Linked DNA regions of Drosophila melanogaster. The protein of the gene in region 1 interacts with the protein of each later gene in a pairwise test. Each region holds a gene or a part of one and is shown in the gene's direction. Other genes may lie near its edges.

Region 1 (7,274 bases):
GAGTAAGCTGACTAACTGGATGACTAACATCTTCAAGGGCAACGGCGTGCGTAGCGGTGAGGCTAGGCGAGTAGGAATCCTGCCCAGCGGTGTGCACGGCGCACGAACCGGATTCACGGATATGGCGGCATCGGCAGCAGCCCGCGATCGTGAGAGTATAGTATAGAGATAAGGAGAAGGCAGTGTAGAAACTAAGGAAGAAGGAGCAGGATGACCAGGATGAGCTAAATAGCCGGATGAGAGAGATGGAAAAGTTACTCAGGAACCGAGTCGAGCAGGAAACGATCGTCTTTTGGCTTACTTCTTTGTTTTATGTATTGTAGTTTGTATGGATCGAACGAATTGTGTGTCTGTGTTGGAAGTCATCCACCTATAAACATATACCAGCCGGTTCTTAACTCTTTGATCGCTCTGGCATTGCGGGACTCTACATATGTGTCCTATGGGTTTCCAAACTATTTTTATTCGTTTTCGAGGAAAATCCTGCGATCCCGAAGTAGAAGCGAGCAGAAGCTGAAGCGAAAATCATACATAGCATATATTTTATAACTCTACATACATACATATTAGAGAAGCCGAAAAAACCGTCTAGTCACAAGGTCTTCAGACTAGTTATTGTTTTATATAAAATAAACACACACCCACACATCTAAATGTACGTTTGTAAATGTAACACATAAACACAACGACACACATATTTATACGACGATGGAGAATCAAAATCAAATATTTTATGTAAATGTAATCGAAATTTTCTGCTTTCCATACACGATGCGCAGCAGCAAACAAATTATGCTTAAACAGAAACTAGTTAATTTATGTATTTGAAAATCAAAACGAGCGTGAAAAATGTAATGTATCAATGTGTTTTGCTAGTACGTAGTTAAGTGCGTGTGATTGTACGTAATATTTAAGTCTCTAAAGCTAAAATAATAATTATAATTAATTGAACGCGAATTGTGAGCAGAGAAGAGCGAAAATGCGCCCGATGAGAGGTGTTTTAGCTGTATGTATGTATGTATGTATATTTTTAAATGAAAATTTGTTAAATTTGCCATATATAAATACAAACGAGAAACTATTAAAAGTGTGTTTGTCCAGATATGCTTAAATGGTGCAAAATGTTCAATAGATGGTAGATACGAGGGTGAATCCTGCGGGAAAGACTAGAAACTTGGAGAACACTTCTTCTAAAAGAAACATTTTTAAAATATTCCGAGCACTGGGAACAGTTGTGTTTTGTGTTTCGACAAACATTTCTGAAGTCGTGGTGAATACAAAAAAACATGTTAAGCATATAAGAGATCACTGTAAGTGTGATCTCACGATAAGATCTCTGTAAGTTCTTGCAACTAAAGCCATCGATTCATTGGAACTCCTTTTGAAATGTTTATGCACTGGGAACAGTGAAACGTATGGGAAGACTTCGTGGGTTTTATCAAGAGTTCTTCTTGGGCAGAAAGAAAACATTTGTTTTTTCCTGTGAGTATTATATTTGCTCCAAATGATTATGTATTATTTTACGCTTTTAGTTTATTGGAACTCCTTTTGAAATGTTTATGCACTGGGAACAGTGAAACGTATGGGAAGACTTCGTGGGTTTTATCAAGAGTTCTTCTTGGGCAGAAAGAAAACATTTGTTTTTTCCTGTGAGTATTATATTTGCTCCAAATGATTATGTATTATTTTACGCTTTTAGTTTATTTTTTAACTTCAATTTAATAAGATAACTAAGCATTAGTGACAGATGTTGACATATGTAAGTACGTACGTATGTTTAATGTAAAATACAATGTCAAAAATGAGGTAGCAGTTTTCAAGACCGCAAAATAAAGTTGATTTCTCATAAATTCAAAAATATAAAAAAAGGAAATAGTCATATTTCTTGAACATAAAAGAATAATAAATGGATGGACCTCAATATAATTTTGAATGTACGTCCATGTAGCGTCGATGAGTTAGCTGCGTTAGAGGAACGGCGGAATTTGGAATACGGGGAAGTTTTTAATTAATTATTTTTTCGATATTTAGAGCTGAGTTCTATAAACTGAACTCGTACATAGATAGTTAGATCTTTTCTTTCTTAACATTATTTAATTTTTTTTGGAATTCACCTCCAAATAACGGAAAAAAATAAATAAATAGGAAAGTTCTCCATGTTTCATGTTTCACCGTGCTGCACTTGAATTTTGACTACCGATGAAAAGGCGCGCGATTTAAATAATCGATGATTGCAAGCAACTATCGATGCTGAACTCTATTTGGAACAGTCGATTATATCGAATAAACATCTGTAATCGTTTAAACCTATTGAAAACAAAGCAATTTTCGTGGTCTTTTGGCCAGTATTTAATATAAATTCGCTGGCAAAAGTCGCGTATTAATTGCAAAAGAACACATATTTACCTCCCCTCCCCCGATTGCTTGTTGCGCCTGTGCGGATTCTTCTTTTGCATGTCGACTGGGCGGGCAAAAGAAAGTTAGCACGGAGAACAACAACGCAGGTGACTTGACCTCGCAACGAAGGAGGAGCACATCGAGATGCAGAGCTACGGCCCCGGAGCCCAGACAGCTCCGGCCGTCAAGCGCCGCACGGACAGCTACGAGGCTGCCCAGCAACAGCAGCAGTCGCCGGAGAGCGACGAGGAGTACGTGAACACCAGGATACTGCGGCGCCAAGTGCAGCTGCAGTCCACTCCGGTGGCCCCGGTGGTGCCCATGCCCATATCCGCCGGTAGTGGCACTGCCCCACCCTCCGTGGATGGCCGCGAGGAGCAGCCCGAATTCCCCGGATCCTCGGCTGCATCTTACCAGGAGGAGCGAATGCGCAGGAAGCTTCAGTTCTTCTTTATGAACCCCATTGAGAAATGGCAGGCCAAGCGGAAATTTCCGTACAAGTTCGTTGTGCAGGTGAGTTCACATCCGGGTTTCATTTGCAGTTCACATCTGGATGAATGCTAGTTAATTGAAGTCGTGTGATGCGCGGCGTTTGGGGGCGGAACTCGGGTGACACATCTGAACCACTTATTTAGGCATTTCTCTTAATTTACAGACGCCTTTAAACAGCCGTCTCCGATCTTCAATGTTTGTCTAGATTTCGAGCATGTAAAATGGGGTAGAGTCAACACAGTCTTGATTACTTTGCTTGCATTGTTAAGCCCCTCCACTCTTATCGATGCCTTATCTGATAGGTCCAACTATTGTTAGCACAATACGTAATAAACAAAGTGAAAATTCAAGAATTTTATGGCTAGAAACTGCGTGTGGACGCTTTTGTAGAACCCAAAAAGTTATTTAATATGCGATAAACATCGTGGTCAGGGGGATTTCTTTTGTGCGATTTTTAATGATTAATGCGAAAATGTTATGACTAGTCTTTAAGTCTACACTTAGTCTCTAAGGTCTACAACTAAATTAGATTTCCTGTAGATACCCAATAAATATAGTCTGACGCATGCTCTAACATAATTCGGCTTCTATTTATAGCCCAGCCTCTAGATCTCTGAACTGGCGACCAAGAAAAGGTCCGTCCCCTGAGGCCAAAAGGCAAATAGAAACTTTAAAAGTTATACTATAAACATTTCTTAGCAACTCAAGAATTTTTCTCTTAGATTGTAAAAATCTTTCTGGTGACGATGCAATTGTGCCTTTTTGCCCACTCGCGGTATAACCACATCAACTACACGGGTGATAACCGATTTGCCTTCTCACATCTATTCCTGCGCGGCTGGGATTCTTCCCGGGAGGTGGAGAGTTATCCGCCTGCTGTGGGTCCCTTTGCTCTATACCTCAAATCGGAGTTCTTCGACACTGTGCAGTATGCAGTCAATGGCTACGCGAATGTAAGCCGATCTATTGGACCATACGACTACCCGACGCCCAATAACACAATGCCGCCACTAAAGCTTTGCCTGCAGAACTATAGAGAGGGCACCATATTTGGCTTTAATGAGTCCTACATTTTCGATCCACATATCGACGAGGTGTGTGAGCGACTACCTCCGAACGTAACCACCATTGGGGTGGAGAATTACCTCAGGCAGCGCGATGTGGAGGTCAATTTTGCATCTCTTGTCTCCGCACAGTTGACGTTCAAGATAAAGACGGTTAATTTCAAGGCAAATGGTGGACCTCTTTCTGCTCCTGATTGTTTTCGGTTTGACATTTCCATAACGTTTAACAACCGAGACCATGACGGGCAAATGCTGCTCTCACTGGATGCGGAGGCGACGCGGCTGAAGTGCCACGGAGCAACGGACTTCATATCAGACGCCAATTTCGATTCCATGCTGCGAAGCGTACTTAATATATTCGTCCTACTAACATGCGCACTATCCTTTGCACTCTGTACAAGGGCTCTGTGGAGAGCATATCTGCTGAGATGTACAACTGTCAACTTTTTCCGTTCGCAATTCGGCAAGGAGCTGAGCTTTGACGGCCGACTGGAATTCGTTAACTTTTGGTGAGTCCTTTGTTTTGTGTTATAAAAACCTCGGCTATATTGGCAACAAGTATTACCCATAATGCTGAAGGTTAGGCCGACGTAAACCCAAAAATTATCAGAAAGGTTGCAGACTATAATAAACCGTTTTGCTTTCGCAGGTACATCATGATCATTTTCAATGACGTCCTTTTGATCATTGGATCAGCTCTAAAAGAGCAAATCGAGGGAAGGTACTTGGTGGTGGACCAATGGGATACCTGCTCGCTTTTTCTGGGAATTGGCAACCTGCTTGTTTGGTTCGGAGTGCTGCGCTACCTCGGCTTCTTCAAAACCTACAACGTTGTGATACTGACGCTGAAAAAGGCGGCACCAAAGATTCTGCGCTTCCTTATCGCCGCCTTGCTGATCTATGCTGGATTTGTGTTTTGCGGCTGGCTGATCTTGGGACCCTATCACATGAAGTTCCGATCGCTGGCTACAACGTCAGAGTGCTTGTTTGCGCTGATAAACGGTGATGATATGTTCGCCACCTTTGCCACGCTTTCCAGCAAGGCCACCTGGCTGTGGTGGTTCTGCCAGATCTACTTGTACTCGTTCATATCCTTGTACATTTATGTGGTCCTGTCGCTGTTCATTGCCGTCATAATGGATGCCTACGACACGATAAAGGCGTATTACAAGGATGGCTTTCCCACCACCGATCTCAAGGCATTTGTCGGAACGCGCACTGCAGAGGACATTAGTTCTGGTGTCTTCATGACCGACCTGGACGACTTCGACCAGACGAGCTTCCTTGACGTGGTGAAGAGCATTTGCTGCTGTGGACGGTGCGGTCGGCATCAGGAGCCCGCCCAGCCCAACAGTGGTTACACCAGCCTTTCTAGTATTATGAAGTAACTGGGTGCGCTATGTCGACCCGCAGGTCTTCATTTTGTTTTGTTTTGTCAGCTTTATGTGTGTAGTCAAACTTGTTGTTAGCTTTTTGTATTAGTTTGTTAATTTGCCAAAGCACTTGAACCGAGATAAGAGAAACCATAACGTACGTACCTATGAGAAATTCCAAAAGCAGCTGCTCTGATCACAAACAGCGGGCATGTTCCGATTTTATCTTTCGCAGCAATGGCTTTAATTCGGTTTGCAGAAATATAATTCTGACTGAAATTCATTTTTCTTCAATACAAAAATTACAAAATGTATAAGACCAAAAGGAAAAACTAAATGTAAGGCGAATTTGTGTCATTTCTGCGAAAGTAAAATCCGAAAAATGACTAAGAAAGGGCACCAAGCAACGCTGTACGCTGGGAAACCACAAAGTCGCAAATTTGTTTTTGTAACGCGAGATATTAAGTGTGTGATATAATGTGGAACCAGAATCGGAGAACAATGGAAATTATATTAGAGGGAGCTATTTTTGTTAGCGATATCGACATGGGCCTGGTCAAGATCTTCCATGAAAACGAATGCATCCGAATCGAGTTTTCATAGAAATCTGAAAGTCACAGCAAAAAATTGTATAAAACTGCACTGGTCGACAAAATGAGATTTTTGGCAGTCTAAGCAAATAGTTATTTTAGAAAGTGTTTAGTTCGGCATAACACAACATCGATTTTTGTCGACTTGTGTCAATTTCAGAAGCCATAGATAAGGAAACATTAGGTAACTATATTTTATGTGTACAATGAAAACTTTGTATTTATAACCAAAAACCACAAACACAATAAACTGTTTATAGAACGATTGAATTGAACAAATTGCACTTTGAACCAAAATTTATTACAACGATATGCAACAAAAATGTGTACAACAAAAATAATTAATTGTGAGCTTAACCAAAACGAGGAACAATGAAGTCTACTTTTATCTTCAGATGTAGGTGGCGCAATGTTTTAATGTTTTGACCAGGAAGACAATCGTTAAATTATTTTGTGGTAAGGATACATCCAAAACAGTCAACATAATAAGTGTCAAGAAACCAAGCGAAACATTTCTACAATCGGATAATTGCATTGCAAGAAAAGAAAACCCAATAAAAGGGAAAGGAATAAATGGTTTCACAGTAATTGGACATTTAATAATTTGGCCGATGTTAAATTTTTGCGGTTTTAAGCGTGAATTTCATTGAATGTTTTGCAAGAATTCGCCGAAACGAGATGAGCAAATTTTAATGAAATGGAAAACTGGTTCTCCAATTGACGTAAATTTCATCAGGCAGATGCTGTGCGTCTTCGTTGAAGCGGAAACCGTCCAAGCCAAAGACTTATTTTACTTAATCTTAATTGGAAATTCGAGCCGAGTGGCACCAGCCTGGCCAGTTGGCAGTCTAGCCTTATTCCTCTATGCAAATGTCAAGAGTGGCAAAAATAGACAATGACAATTCAGAAAGGTCCCTCGCCGATCCGCAAAGCACTTTGGCACACTTTAGAGTTGGAGCCACTAGAAATCAGAAAGAAACTGGAAAAAAAGCTGAATAAAACGCTCAAGTTGGTGGCAGTTCGTCACGCCTTTAGACGCCTCTCTGTCAGCTGGCAGTCGTCGAGCCACGACGTACCGCTCTGTGGGCCATAAATGGCTTTAATTTGGCTTTAAAATGATCAAGGTCGCTGCGGGTAAAAAACTGCTTTTAAATTGGAACGGCCAGACGACGCAGAGGAACTACTTAGCAGTCAAATTATAAAAAATAATCGAAGATGTATCTTTCTTCAAGTTTGTTTGAAGAAATACGAACTTGCAATACACTTTCCGGTTAATTTTAGAAAAGAAGCAAACACAGTTTCTTATTTTACTTGACATAGCTAAGATACATTCTTCTTATTGATTATTAATTGTTGAG
Region 2 (8,850 bases), on another chromosome or scaffold:
ATTCCAGGTAATGATGTTGTTGTGTCTTTTTTTCCATTTTGAAACTATGAGACTATAAGTTTCTTTGTCTGAAGTTCCCACGCCCATAAGCCCCATTAATGGCATTCATTTGTTTTCAGGCTGGCGTGGTTAAGAAAACGCGCTTCCTGACCGTCACCTCAACCATTGAGAAGGTGATCCAGGAGGAGCACACCAAGGAGTACTCCGAAGACGATGGCCCGCTGACGGAGAACATTTTGGAGGCCACCGCCAGCACCGATGATAAGACCTTAACAGGCAGCGTTACGACCTTGAAGCCCATCTATCTGGGCGAGGAGACCGAGACCCCCAGCCTGGAGACCATAACGGAGTCCTTTTCCATAACGCACACCAAGCTGAAGACCCAGATCCTCCCAGTTGTGTACGCAAAAAGGAACGAGACCATCCAAGTTACCCTAGTTCAGACGTACGATTACACCAGTCTCATCACTGTAACACAGACCATTTCCCCCTTGAGCGACGACTTCAATCCCTCAAAGAACTTCAAGGACTTCGAAGGAAGTTTGGACGAGGCTGGGTCGGAAATCAACCTGGACCTCGAGTTCGGAGATGAAGATAATACGGGCAAATTCGACGCAAAGATTAAACCAAAACTCAAAGTTGAGGCCAAGAGTAATGTAACTAGCCCGATAAACCCTCTGCTCCCGGAATCGATTAGCTTCCCGGAAACGCTGCAAAACAGCTTGATAACTTCCACGCGACCCGTGATCAAGCTCGAGACCATCTGGGAGTCCCATGTGGTGCCGCTTGTCAGAGGCACCGAGACCATCATGAGAACCCTCTCCAAGTCCGTGGGTGTGGTGGAGAAGACGGAATACGTCACTGATGTCGCCACGATTTCCATGCCAACGCCATCCTCGCAGTATCCCTTCTCGATCAACCCATTCAATCCCTTCAACCCACTCTTGCCCATTGCCCCGCAACAGTTCATCACATCCACCGAGGTCCAGCAGTCCATGGTAACGGAAACGAGCTCCAAGGTTCTAAAGCTGACCTTTGGCGCGAGGACCGCCTACACCACCATCTTCTCAACCTCTGTCGTTCCCACAGCTGTCACTAGATTAATAACCGCCACCATTCCCGGCCAGCCAGGCCAATCCTTCCCCAACTACTTTCCGCCTCCTTACAATCCATTCGCCTATGTTGGCTAGTTTTTAGGAGCATCTACGCAAGCGAGAGTGTCTAACCCCATTACTTCTTTGTAATTAGGAATCCTGTATTATATTTAAGAACACGTGCAAATATCGAAAAGGCGGTGATACAAAAAGCAGTAGATTTTATTATATTGTATGTGCACTTTGTCGCAAAAGTTGTTAATGTAAATACTCGAGTTAAGACTAAATTAGGATTGCATCGAATTTTTTGGATCTAAGATAAGCAAAATATGGTTGTAGTTCGGTTTAACTGATGTTAATAAATTTTTGAACCCTTTTATTCCCTAAATTAGTTTTTCATTCCGTATTTACTGCAGCTTAAGAGTTATTTGATTCTTCAAATGATCGATACTAATAGTTATACACTGTGTTCCATTCCACCGTTTCACGCGGAAGAGAACCGACAGAAATGCAGAATTGCTGCCTTTGCAAACAATATATAGAAATCGATTCCCAGCTATGCACATTTACCAAATGCTTTCCGTTACAACACTTATCAACATTATCTAATAAAGTTCAATACTTTCACTTTGTAATATAAATTACACTCCAACATCGATATCGATATCTGTGTCTCTATCGATACCCGCGTGTGCGTTCGCATTTCACATCTCTGGGGCTTTGGCGTCACGTTCGCATCTCTAGTAAATTGGAAAAAAATAAAATCGTCGGAGTTTTTATGTGCTTGCAGAGTAGTGTAAGTAATTGCTATTTTTGTGCCAGCTGCTTGCCGGTAGTAAACAACGCGCGTGAACTGTGATGCCTTGCAATCCTCAGCGCAATTCAAGTGCGGTTTAAGTCCGAACGACCCAAGAAACCCGAAGTGTACGTACATATGTATGTTTTCGCGTGTGTATTTTTATGCACATGCAATTCTATGCTGCTGCCATGCAAAGGTGCAAAAAATGCGAAATGCAAATATCGTTCACAGAATGCCCATTGATCTGACCGGATTTTAGGTGGCACATACGCATATGCATATAGCATGTTCCCGGAATTGTGCAACTTCGCATACATACATATGTAATGTCTTATGTTGGCATAATTATCCGCTGTTCAAGGGAAGTGCATGGTGCAAATCGGGAATCTATATTCGGCATACTTTGGTAAAGGGCCAATGAGATCGTATTTATTAGAAAATTGCCCATCCGCCGTAATATATAGCACAGCACCAATGATTAAGTTCGCACTTCCATCTTATCCCGAAGCAATCAAGAATGATTTCTGAACCTGCATGGCTTGCTACTGCTTAGTAGCTTATTTTAGTGATCTCTTAAGATTTGATGCAATATCATGTTTCCCACTAATCGACTATATGCATAGTTTCAGTTTTAGACTGTCCACTTAAACGTGTTAATCATGTTTTTAGGATTGCAGCGCATTGTCACACACATTATCTAAACAGCTTTATCTGTTTGTTTATTAAGATATTTATGAAGCATATTATGTATTCCCCCTGCTTTGACTCTGATAACGCAAGTGCCGTGGACACTATAAGATAATCGTATTTAATCTCTTCTTCGCAGATTTCTTTCATATGCAACTATGTCGGTACACTATAAATTTAAGAGTACACTCAACTTTGATACAATTACTTTTGATGGACTTCACATTTCTGTCGGGGACTTAAAAAGGGAGATTGTGCAGCAGAAGCGACTGGGCAAAATCATCGACTTTGATCTCCAAATAACAAATGCGCAGAGTAAAGAAGGTATGTCCACCGCAATTTAGAATTTTTCCCCTGCTACATGGCTTCCTTCCCTTTTCCAGAATACAAGGACGATGGGTTCCTTATTCCCAAAAACACAACGCTGATCATATCGCGCATCCCCATCGCCCATCCCACAAAAAAGGGCTGGGAGCCACCAGCAGCAGAAAATGCCTTTTCGGCGGCGCCTGCCAAGCAGGACAACTTCAACATGGACCTGTCCAAAATGCAAGGCACGGAGGAGGACAAAATCCAGGCCATGATGATGCAGAGCACAGTCGACTATGATCCTAAGACGTATGTGGTTTTAAATTGTTACAAAACCACCTATCTAATGTATTTTCTGTTTAGGTACCATCGTATTAAAGGACAATCGCAAGTGGGAGAAGTTCCCGCATCCTACCGATGCAACAAATGCAAGAAAAGCGGACACTGGATCAAAAACTGTCCCTTTGTGGGGGGAAAGGACCAGCAAGAGGTCAAACGGAATACTGGTATTCCGCGGTCTTTCCGCGACAAGCCAGATGCGGCTGAGAACGAATCAGCCGATTTTGTGCTGCCTGCTGTACAAAACCAAGAGATACCGGAGGATCTGATATGCGGCATATGCCGAGATATATTCGTCGATGCTGTCATGATACCCTGCTGCGGAAGTTCCTTTTGTGACGACTGTGTGCGAACCTCCTTATTGGAGTCAGAGGATAGTGAGTGCCCCGATTGCAAGGAGAAGAACTGTTCGCCTGGCTCCCTGATACCTAATCGGTTCTTGAGGAATTCGGTGAACGCCTTTAAAAATGAGACTGGGTATAACAAAAGCGCGGCTAAGCCAGGTAAGTTCATTATACTCGTTTGCATCGCTTAATGCAAATGAATCGAATTTCTCTTTTTAGCTGCAGTAAAAAATGAGGAAAAACCTCCTGTTGAAAAAGAAGTGGAGAAAAAGCCAGTCGCGGAGGTGGAACCCGAAGAGACTGAGGTGAAACCTGAAAAGCAAAAAGAATCCGAAACCAATGGCAGTAATCCGCCAAAATCGGAATCTCCAGAGCCTCCCGCAACCACAGAACCATCACAGAAGGAGAAAGATAAATATGATTCAGACTACGAGGATAACATTACCATAAAAATGCCCCAGCCTGCAGCTGATTCTACAACAGTGCCCAGCAAAGTGAGACATACATATTTGACACATCTGCAACATAGATACATAATTATTGCCTTAATGTTTCAGAGATCCCCCAGTTATTCCCACAGAAGTGAATCCTCTCATCGACGGGACAGGTCGGATTATGTTTCCGATCACGATCACAAGCACCAACGTCCATCAAAATCGGAGTCTGTTAACAAGGATCGCAGTCTCCTGCCCTTGCCCATTGGCACCCTGCCTAGCTACCAGGGCCACATGATGGCCGAATCAGAAGAAGCTCGTCGATCGAGTGCCTATAAGCCCCCTTATATGCAAATGCAGCGGGGCCCACCTCCTATGCACATGATGAGTCACCACATGCCAGCCTACAACAACGGGTTTAACAACATGGGACAGAGGCCTCCCCTCAGGTAGGTTTCTTTTCCACCCGTCCGGATCCCGCTACCATGTGGATCGAGTCAAGTGTCGAGGCCACTGGAACTCCGAGGTGTTGACGAGTCCATACGCAGCCGGTCCTGCCTGATCTCAATATTTTTAAGTTCCAACAGAGACTATACACACACACTAGTTAAGAGTAATTTAAGCTCTGGGCTCTGCGCCTTTATGCTTTGTTGAATATTGGTTATTCCTAATTAAAACAGTATTGCTTACAATCAACGTTAAGCTTTTTGAATTGTAATTAACTTCTAAAATTTCAGCTATGTGCCGTATCAAAACCAATCCGTACACCCAATGCGTGCGCCGTACGGATCTGCAGGCGGAGGTATGAATATGAATATGTCACAACCATTTCAGTCCCCAAATTTAGCCTCGATATACCAAGGGGTGGCAGCGAAGGTCGGTTCCGGGTGAGTATCTTTAGGGCGTTGTAGAAGCGTGGGATGACAAGTAATCCCAATGTTTTGCAGTCCCATTGACGATCCGTTGGAGGCCTTCAATCGCATCATGAAGGAGAAGGAGCGGAAGAAGGTGGACCGCTTTCGAAGCTCTGACCGCCACAGGTCAAGGTCCCCGGATAGACAAAGGCACCGCTTTAAGTCTCCCATGTACGAAAAGGACAACTCCAGGGATAATCTCAAGGACAAAAGACCGCGATCCCGGGAAAGGAAGCGAGAACATAGCTACGAACGGCATATACGCCACCCTCGTTCTAGTCGCCAGCCGAATGATGGCTCTAAGTCCCCAGGTGGCAGAATCAAAAGGTAGTTTTACCACCAGCCCTTTTCCATGTGCTTACATTCATGGTCTACTCTCTGCTTTTTAGATCTGGACATCGTCGCTCTGCATCTCCAAAGCCGGGCTACAAGAGTGATTACAGAGACAAGCCGTACAACAAGCCTAGTGCTCCCAAAACGGAGGCAGTTGAGCCTCCTCCCCCCGGATTCGAGCCGTTGCAGCTGACGGATGAAGACGGCTACAGGAACAAGCACCCGACCAGTTCGGAAGCATCACAAAGCAGCAAGGGTGATAGCAGCAAGAAGAGAGGGGAAAACAGGCACGAAGAGGCGCCACGAAAGAGGCACAGGTCTCGCAGCATTAGCAAGGAACCGAAGCCGAATGACAGCAACTACAGGAGCCTGACTCCACCAGCAAAGATCACCACACCGAAAATGACTGCTGCCCAGTTGAGGCAACGCGAAAGTTCACCGAAGACGCCGGAAAAGAGTCACGACGATTATCTGACCGCGAAGGCCAGAATTATGGCCTCCCAGCCCGTCATCAACGACACGGAAATGGAGACCAATGTGGGCAAGGAGAACAAGGCCAAGAGTCCGTTGTCAAAAGATCGCAAGAAGAAGAAGAAGGACAAGGACAAGGCTGAGCGCAAGAAAAACAAGAAGGACAAGCGCGCTAAGAAGGAGAAAGGGGATCGCCAGAAGAAGAGCTCCTCAGTTAATCGATCTGACTCGGATATTAACAACAGCTCACTAATGAACGAGTCAAATTATAAAGTATTGTCTCCCAGGGCTCAAAGTCCCAGCATTGAGATCAATGCGGCTCAACTTTCCCCTACTCACAACGCTACTGAAAACGTTAATCCGAAGAGTCATTCCATCCTTACTGTGGGTGCTGCTAGCGACGATAATCTTGGCCCAAGAAGCAAACTCAGCGAGGCTAATTCTGTCAATCTATCCAAATGGGAAATCGACGAGAATATCTTAGGTTTGGAGGATTCCTCCAAAAAAGCTGCCGGGGCCTCCGACGATCCGTCGGAAATAACTTCAGACGTCCTGCGAAAGGCTGAGAACGCAATATTTGCAAAGGCTATTAATGCCATCAGGCCTATGGAGTTTCAAGTTATTATCAATTCCAAGGACAACAGCAAGGACCGCTCCGTAGTTCGAAGTGACAAGGATCGCTCCTCCTCACCCAGGCGTAACAACAGCAGCAGGTCGGTAAAGGATAGGCTGGGCACCAAGATTTCCAATGATAGAAGCCGTTCGCGAGACAAGTCGAAGGGCAGGCGCCGGGCCGCAAGGAGCTCCGACGACGATGCGAACCGCGGCAGGTCGGATCGTCATGGCAGCCGGAAGAGGGACAACAGATCCCGCGACAGGGCGGCGCCTTCAGAGAAGAGGCAGGAGCGTTCGTACAAGCGAAGCTCGCCGGAGGACGACAAGCTGAGGCGCCAGAACAAGGAACAGTCCGAATCCAAGCACGGAAAGCATGATCAAAACAATAGCGACGACTCGGATCGGAGGGCGGCCAAAAACACCAAGTCCAGCGACAGCCGAGTGGTCTCCTCTGTAACAGCCGTGGTTGCTCCTCCCAAACCCTGTCGTCCAGACAACCCGTTCCGCAAGTTCGTCGACACCAGTTCGTCGAGCAGCTTAGTTGTAAAATATGATAACACGATACAGAAGGAGGGCGCGTCCTCGGACAACGGCATGGAGCACAGGAAGCAGAGGGATAAGAAGCTGAAGAAACATTCAAAATATTCGTCAACCGATTCGTTGAAGAGCGAGAAGCGCAAGGATCCGAAGAGCAAAAAGAAGAGCAAGATTTTGAAGAAGAAGAAAAAATCAAAGAAGTAGGTTACGGTAGGCTACGAGATAAGAATGATATAAATATTGAAGATTAATGTGTACAAATCAAAGATTTTTAATGTATGTATTTATCATGCAACTATAAGTATACAAATAAAACAGAACTACTCAAGGATTGCTTGCTTGTGATCGATCTAACTTTCGATTGCCCGCCGAGTTAGAAGACGGTGGATTGATATTCGAGAAATTAAATATGTTTATTACAAACAGTTATCTTAAAAAATCGATTAAATTACACGTGTAGAGATTGACTGAAGTTAATCATTATTGCTTAAGCCGTCCATGAAGGACGATGCCATTGGACTGGGCGTTCTGGAGATAATGTTGTCATTGCCATAGTCATCGGAGTTTGCATCCACTAAAAGCACAGAATAATAATATATATATGCATTAGGAAAACTCCGACTAGTCTGTGCTGTGCATTAAATGCTGCTTGCCTTGTTCTAGAAAATTGGATTTTCTACTCTGGGGTATGCAACTCAGCGAATGTATTATTGGACTGCAGGCTTGATCGGCTGTTTCGAGCGTGGTTGGTAAGTCTAGGAGTCGTTGATTTTGAATGCCATCCCCTGGCCCCATGTGAGAAATGTGGTTGAAATTAGTCGGTGCTGATATCATCTTTGATCTACGATCACTACAAATAAAAAGCGAATAATGAGGACTCGAATCGATTGCGCCAATAGGTTAACTGAAGCCCAACCTTTTGATGGTCTTGTTTATCTCCCTGATAGAGAATCTCCGCTTTATGCTCGGAAGTCCCTTTCGATTTCCGTCACGGTATTGCAAAAGGCCCTCTGCAAATAAAGCATGTGGTTTAATGGCCCTGATAAACAGACGTGAATGATTTAGCTTACTTGTGTGAATATTGGATAGGTAAACAATCAGCGGAGTGTCATTGACTGAGGACAGCACCACGTTTCCCAAATTGTTTAAGGGAAGTGATTGCTTCAATCCAATCGACTGCACCCATTCGGCAGTCTGCGTATTGAATATATCCAAATGTGTATCCGAAAACACCAGCAAGTGACCATCACAAAAGGCTGGAATGAGTCCACAAAAGAGTTATACATCATGAGTCATAACCGCATCTCGTTTTTTACTCACTTATATACGTAGGGAAGGCTGGATACATAATTTCCCTATCCCGAGACTTTCGCCCTTGCAGGTCTACGTATATGGCCAGAGTCTGGAACACCAGTAAGTACTCCCCGAAATTGCCGCCGCTGGGGCACAGAATTTCAATGACCCTGACCGCATCCACTCCGGAGTAGTTCAAAAATGCACATAACTGGTTCTCCGGATGAACCAAAGCTAATGAAAGATACGAAGACGTTATAAAGACTCTCAGAAAACGTCATCTATTACTACTCACACATTGCAGTTGCTTCTCCGCGCAGAAAGTATGCGGTAAATCCGCTTTGGTGAGCCACAACCAATCGCATGTCGGACAGAATCTGCAGGTGCTGCGCCATGTAGCCAATTGTGAATTCGCAAGTCTTCTGGTGTCTTGTGCGCGTTCTATTGATTTCGTAAACTACGATTTGTGTGTGGTTATTCGGCCGCTTTAGAGCGATGATAAATGAGTAAACGATATTGGGGAAGCGGCGGATTATTCCAGTGCAAGCAGATATGCAGTTCTTCGATTCGACCACCTTGATCCACTCGACATCACTAGCCTCTAATGCCCTTATAGGTAATAAACGCAAGTTGCGCTGCTTTCCGCAGAGAATGACGAGGATCTGCTCCTCTTCAATGTAC
Region 3 (4,902 bases), on another chromosome or scaffold:
CTGGCAATTGCCAAATCACGGACTCAGCCTGGCTGATATATAATCTGATTTTGTGCAAATGCACAAGCATCTAATGCCGCTACTGCAACGGCGACCCATAAAGGCCTTTCACTTTTACGCCACAGTGCAGATCTCACGCATGGCACCCGATCCAGTCACTGTTCCAGTCACAGATCCATTTGCAATCCCCGTTGGTATTCCACTCCACAATCCCACACCCAGCGTTCCGATAATCGATTTCGAGTGCGAAACTTGAGATTCGCAGCCCACGGTTATGCACCGCATCTGTTGCATCACTTTTCACCACCCCCAATCGCAGATAGTATCTATTTTTTCCGCCCGGTGATCACTAAACCATTGTCAATGACATCAAAGATGCCGAGAAATTCCAGAGAGGCAGCTTCCGTTTTTACCTGGTTGTTGCAGGAAGTGCAAAATGGTAACCCGAGTACCCCAAAGGTGGCAAGAAAACCAGAAAGCCTAATTATGACAGCAATAGAAATTGAGACATCACACTCAAATTACTATCTTGCAACAATGTATACTGATATAAAGCAAGTAACTGGTTACAAGTACAGTGAACTTTGATAAATGTTGCTTACTACAATATCAATTACAAAATCAAAGTTTAATGTAATTAATTGCCATTTTTAAAAGATCTGAATCCGGTTAAAAATTAAATACTAAAATCCGGAAAACATTCGGTTCGCCAAATGCATACAAAATTATAAGAAACATTAATTAAGTTATAAATCAAGTTACCGTTAAATCAAGTTCTACGATATTAGATCTGCTAAGTGAATTTGAGATTTATTAAACTCAAATGAAAGAAATTGCTTTGTTACACTTTTGTTTATTGGGCCACAAAATGTTTCGAAATAAATTTTATATTGAAATTATACAAGATTAAAACCAGATTACCCCTTTGAACAATTCCAGATTTATAGACCCTTTGTTTAAAATGCGAGCCGAACGTATAAATATGATACTAATAAGCAAGTTTTTTTTTTTTTTTAATTAATGGAATCAAAACAAAATCTAGTTGAATTTCCATTAGGTAGACTCAGAATTATTGATATTAGGAATCAGGTTCGACCAAAACTGCTGACTTCTGAAACTTGACAAACAAAACATAACGACTTTGATAGACATATGACCTTTCGTTGAAATCTATATTTTTGGGAACAACTTGCTAAGAAGCCCGAAGACTTTTTATCCAAATAAAACAAAAAAAAAACAAGAAAGGATTGCTAGTACGTTCTGCGGGATTTTCCCAATATAAATTTCAATTCAAGATTTAGTTAATTTATTTTATTTGCTTTTTATGTTCCCAAATTGATTTGATCACATTTGCACCCATATTTTATAAGCCACTTTCAAGTTGGCGGCTAAAGTCACCAATACACACAGAGAAAAGCCGCAATTGCGTGAGTATTGGTGGCATGCCAGTGTATTGGTGAGCGCTTCCGCTTGCAACTTTCCGTGCCGCACTAATACACACAAATATAACCAATACAAGCGCAAACCAAGCCGAACTCAGAGCTTTGAAGAGAGCAATTAGGCTGGTTTGTGGTGGGAAAAGCTTTTGGAAACCGCTGAGCGACTTGGTTTGGCGGTGTTTTCAGTTTCGTTTTGACACAAAAACTCTTTGGGGGTATAAAAGCGCGCCACTGACCACAGACAGCATCCAGTCAAAGGTTTGGAATCGCTAGTGATTCTACAATCCTTCCACAGTCTATTTCGCTGTTACTGAGTTGCTTGTAAGTGAAGCCAAATGCCAAGTTAATTTTTGTTTGTTTCTAAAATGCGTGTAGTCTATGTGAAACGGAAATAAAGTTTAAGCTGTGATCTAAAAGTTATAAACTAATAACTGTGCGAGCCGTGTGCTCTAAATAACTTCAATTTTCCAAGGAACATTTTCCCAAAGAACAGATTGTTAATACCAATTAAAGTGCTGATCTTATAAAAAAAAAAATATCTATGCTGCATTTCGTATAAATAATCTTATTGTTTTCTTTGTTTACTTACAGCCTTGGCAAGTCCCATTAGACTCCACAATGAAAGTATTCGTAAGTACAACAGACATATAGTAATTAGACATATAGAATTTAGTTTGATATGTAAATGGGTACGAGTATGTGAACTATCGCTGTTGGTAGCATATTTTAGTGTGAGAAATCAAGTAATAATTCAAAGAATTGCATACAGAACAATGCTGACATGAACTAATTGGAACAATATAGCCTTTTGCATTGCAAATGCCTCACATTGTTTACCTGGCCATCTTCAACAACAAACAACTTCCTGAAACAATTCAATCCGATAAATTTCCTTAATCAAAGGTGAAATGCTCGCAAACGACCAAATTCAACTTGAACGACATGGCTAATAAGCGTTTATTAACTGAACGATCATAATTGGAGTGCCAGCCACGTTTATTACCAGGCCGTAATCAACTGGGTTCATGTGCTCAATTAAAGCCAGCTCCAAATGCATTCGCTGAGTTGCCCACTGCGTATGCGTAACGTGACGCCAGTCGGTTGAGGCGTATTGCGGAAACTGGGCGTGGCAGTGGGCGATGACTGCACTGCATCATTTATGCCAGGCACGCACAAATTTCACTTGACCATTTGAATCGCGAAAGAGGGCGATGAGACAACGGACGACACAATGCGAATCGGGCCACATATCGCCTATCGCCTTCGCTTTCTATTGCGATTAGGTAATCGATCAAACTAGGCAATGGGTGATAAAAGTCAACGTTTTCGTTAGGCAATTTATGTAGGTTGCATATCTTGAATTGTTTTATCATAGAGAAGCTTCAAATACTTAAAGAATAGACTATACGAATTTCATGATAGATGAGTTTGCACAGTTGAGAATTCGAAGATAGTATGACTAAATTTTATTTCATTTCATTTTGAAATAGATTTAAACTATATTTGCAAGGAATCAAGTTCTACTTACTAACTTAGTTATTGTGAAATAAACTATTAAGAAATCACAAATATCTAGAATTTTGCTAGAAAATTAATATATTATTATTATTTAAAAGTCTCTAAAATGCATAGTTTCATAACCAATCGCACCAACTCAATTCTTTGCAGATCTGCTTAGCCGCTCTGCTGGTGGCCTCCGCCTGCGCCAGCAAAACCGAGGGTGAGAAGGTGCCGCTGGAGAAGAAGCTGGACAAGCGCGGCCTGCTCGATCTGGGCTACGGCTACGGTCATGCTGGTCTGGACACCGGCTACCTGGGACATGGTTCCATCTCCGGCCACGGAAGCTACGGACATGGCTACGGACTGACCGGATACTCCGCACCCGCTGCCGTCGCCGTGGGCCACAGTGGTCCCGCGATCGCCGTTGGACACACTGCTCCCGCCGTCGCTGTCCACCACGCTCCCGCCCCCTATGTGATCAGCAAGCAGGCCGATGTGCACAAGACCATCACCATCACCAAGGGAATCCCAGTGCCCGTGCATGTGGACCGCCCCTATCCCGTCGTCCATGAGAAGCGCGTGCCCGTCGAAGTTAAGGTGCCCGTGCCCCAGCCCTACGAAGTCATCCGCAAGGTGCCCGTGACCGTTAAGGAGTACGTCAAGGTGCCCGTGCCAGTGCCCCAGCCCTACGAAGTGATCCGTCACGAGAAGGTGCCCGTCCATGTGCCCGTCGATCGCCCAGTGCCCGTTGAGGTGCCCAGGCCCTACCCCGTGCCAGTGGCCAAGCCCTACCCTGTCTACGTGGAGAAGGCCGTCAATGTCCAGGTGCCCGTGCATGTGGATCGTCCCTACCCCGTCTACGTGAAGGTGCCCGTGGTGTCCCACTCCGTGGTCAAGCACGCACCCACCGTTGCCGTCAGCAGCTACCCTGTTAGCGCCATTGGCCACGATGCCACCGTCTACTCCGACCACCATGGTTACCACAAGTAAGCGGACGGAATGGACCGGAAGCAGGCGAATCTATTGGAGCGAGCGGACTTAATGGAAATGAGCCGAAGGATATCTAGCAACATTTTCAATTATCTTCCCCACTCTCTCCACCTGTCGGCCTTCCTTTCCAAAACCGAGCGCAGAAGCAAACTCTTAAAATACCCCCTGGAAGTCAAACTTCCGCCCTGCCACACTCTCTGTAGCTGATAAGAACCCCCAAGATGAAACAAGCAATGCCTTTTGTAAATTATTTCCAATCCAGCCATCCAATGGAAGCCATTGTGCTGGGCCAAGAACTCCAGGTTTAGGATAAATACCAGCTAACTGTTTGTAAATTTCGCCATTTATGAACAGTTTAGCTGGCCAAGTTTATCAGTGAAAGGTTTCGGCGCACAATGAATTGAATGGATAATAAGAACAGAAATATCTATGTGAAAATCTATTAAGGACAAATAAAATAAAATGTATAAAATAAATTTCACTGTCTTTATCACTGGTTAGCTGCTGGAAATAGTTTGTCATAGGGTTCTTTGTAATTGTATATCTTGTAAATATATTTTGTAAATAAAGAGTATGTTGTTATTAAACAGCTGTCGTTTTTGATTTGGTGGCTACTCAACATAAATAATATTTAAAAAATGTATTTTTACTAGACTTTTTGAGGATCATTTTCTGGAATATTTACAGCTCTCTAATAATATTTATTAAATAGACGGAATGGTTCAAAAACTTTATGTTCCGATCACTTTAATAAAAAGTTATACGAAGACCCTTTAATCTTGCAAGGTAACAAGTAGGATACCAGTAATTATTTCAAGCCAAGAGATGCGAATTATGCATACCTGTAATTAAGTACAGCTTAAGTTGTAATAAATCAATAATACTCAGTCACAATAAAAACAGATGTCTTGACGCCTTCCTGATCCTTAAACCCGAAAATCCTCTCACCAGTCAGTCAGCTGAGATGACATGA

Evidence for each region.
Region 2: the proteins of Trpml (region 1) and snama interact in a two-hybrid assay, tested with the Drosophila melanogaster proteins (one large-scale study listed by BioGRID).
Region 3: the proteins of Trpml (region 1) and Vajk3 interact in a two-hybrid assay, tested with the Drosophila melanogaster proteins (one large-scale study listed by BioGRID).

What each region holds. Positions count from the first base shown.
Region 1 is NT_037436.4:19,713,336-19,720,609, reverse strand, and holds Trpml (transient receptor potential cation channel, mucolipin), read left to right. Parts: upstream 1-2,281; 5' UTR 2,282-2,541; coding exon 2,542-2,910; intron 2,911-3,611; coding exon 3,612-4,462; intron 4,463-4,602; coding exon 4,603-5,341; 3' UTR 5,342-6,192; downstream 6,193-7,274. Other genes in the region: CG42637 (uncharacterized protein), read left to right, coding at 1-166.
Region 2 is NT_033778.4:24,084,813-24,093,662, forward strand, and holds snama (something that sticks like glue), read left to right. Parts: upstream 1-1,791; 5' UTR 1,792-1,890; exon of another isoform or gene 1,891-2,018; intron 2,019-2,719; 5' UTR 2,720-2,738; coding exon 2,739-2,904; intron 2,905-2,963; coding exon 2,964-3,198; intron 3,199-3,252; coding exon 3,253-3,731; intron 3,732-3,791; coding exon 3,792-4,066; intron 4,067-4,129; coding exon 4,130-4,455; coding exon of another isoform or gene 4,456-4,459; exon of another isoform or gene 4,460-4,700; intron 4,701-4,743; coding exon 4,744-4,893; intron 4,894-4,953; coding exon 4,954-5,247; intron 5,248-5,309; coding exon 5,310-7,080; 3' UTR 7,081-7,202; downstream 7,203-8,850. Other genes in the region: CG16786 (uncharacterized protein), read left to right, coding at 1-7, 120-1,190; gek (genghis khan), read right to left, coding at 7,350-7,450, 7,530-7,726, 7,793-7,886, 7,947-8,132, 8,197-8,403, 8,465-8,850.
Region 3 is NT_033779.5:13,944,256-13,949,157, reverse strand, and holds Vajk3 (Vajk3), read left to right. Parts: upstream 1-1,681; 5' UTR 1,682-1,760; intron 1,761-2,030; 5' UTR 2,031-2,057; coding exon 2,058-2,069; intron 2,070-3,107; coding exon 3,108-3,929; 3' UTR 3,930-4,402; downstream 4,403-4,902.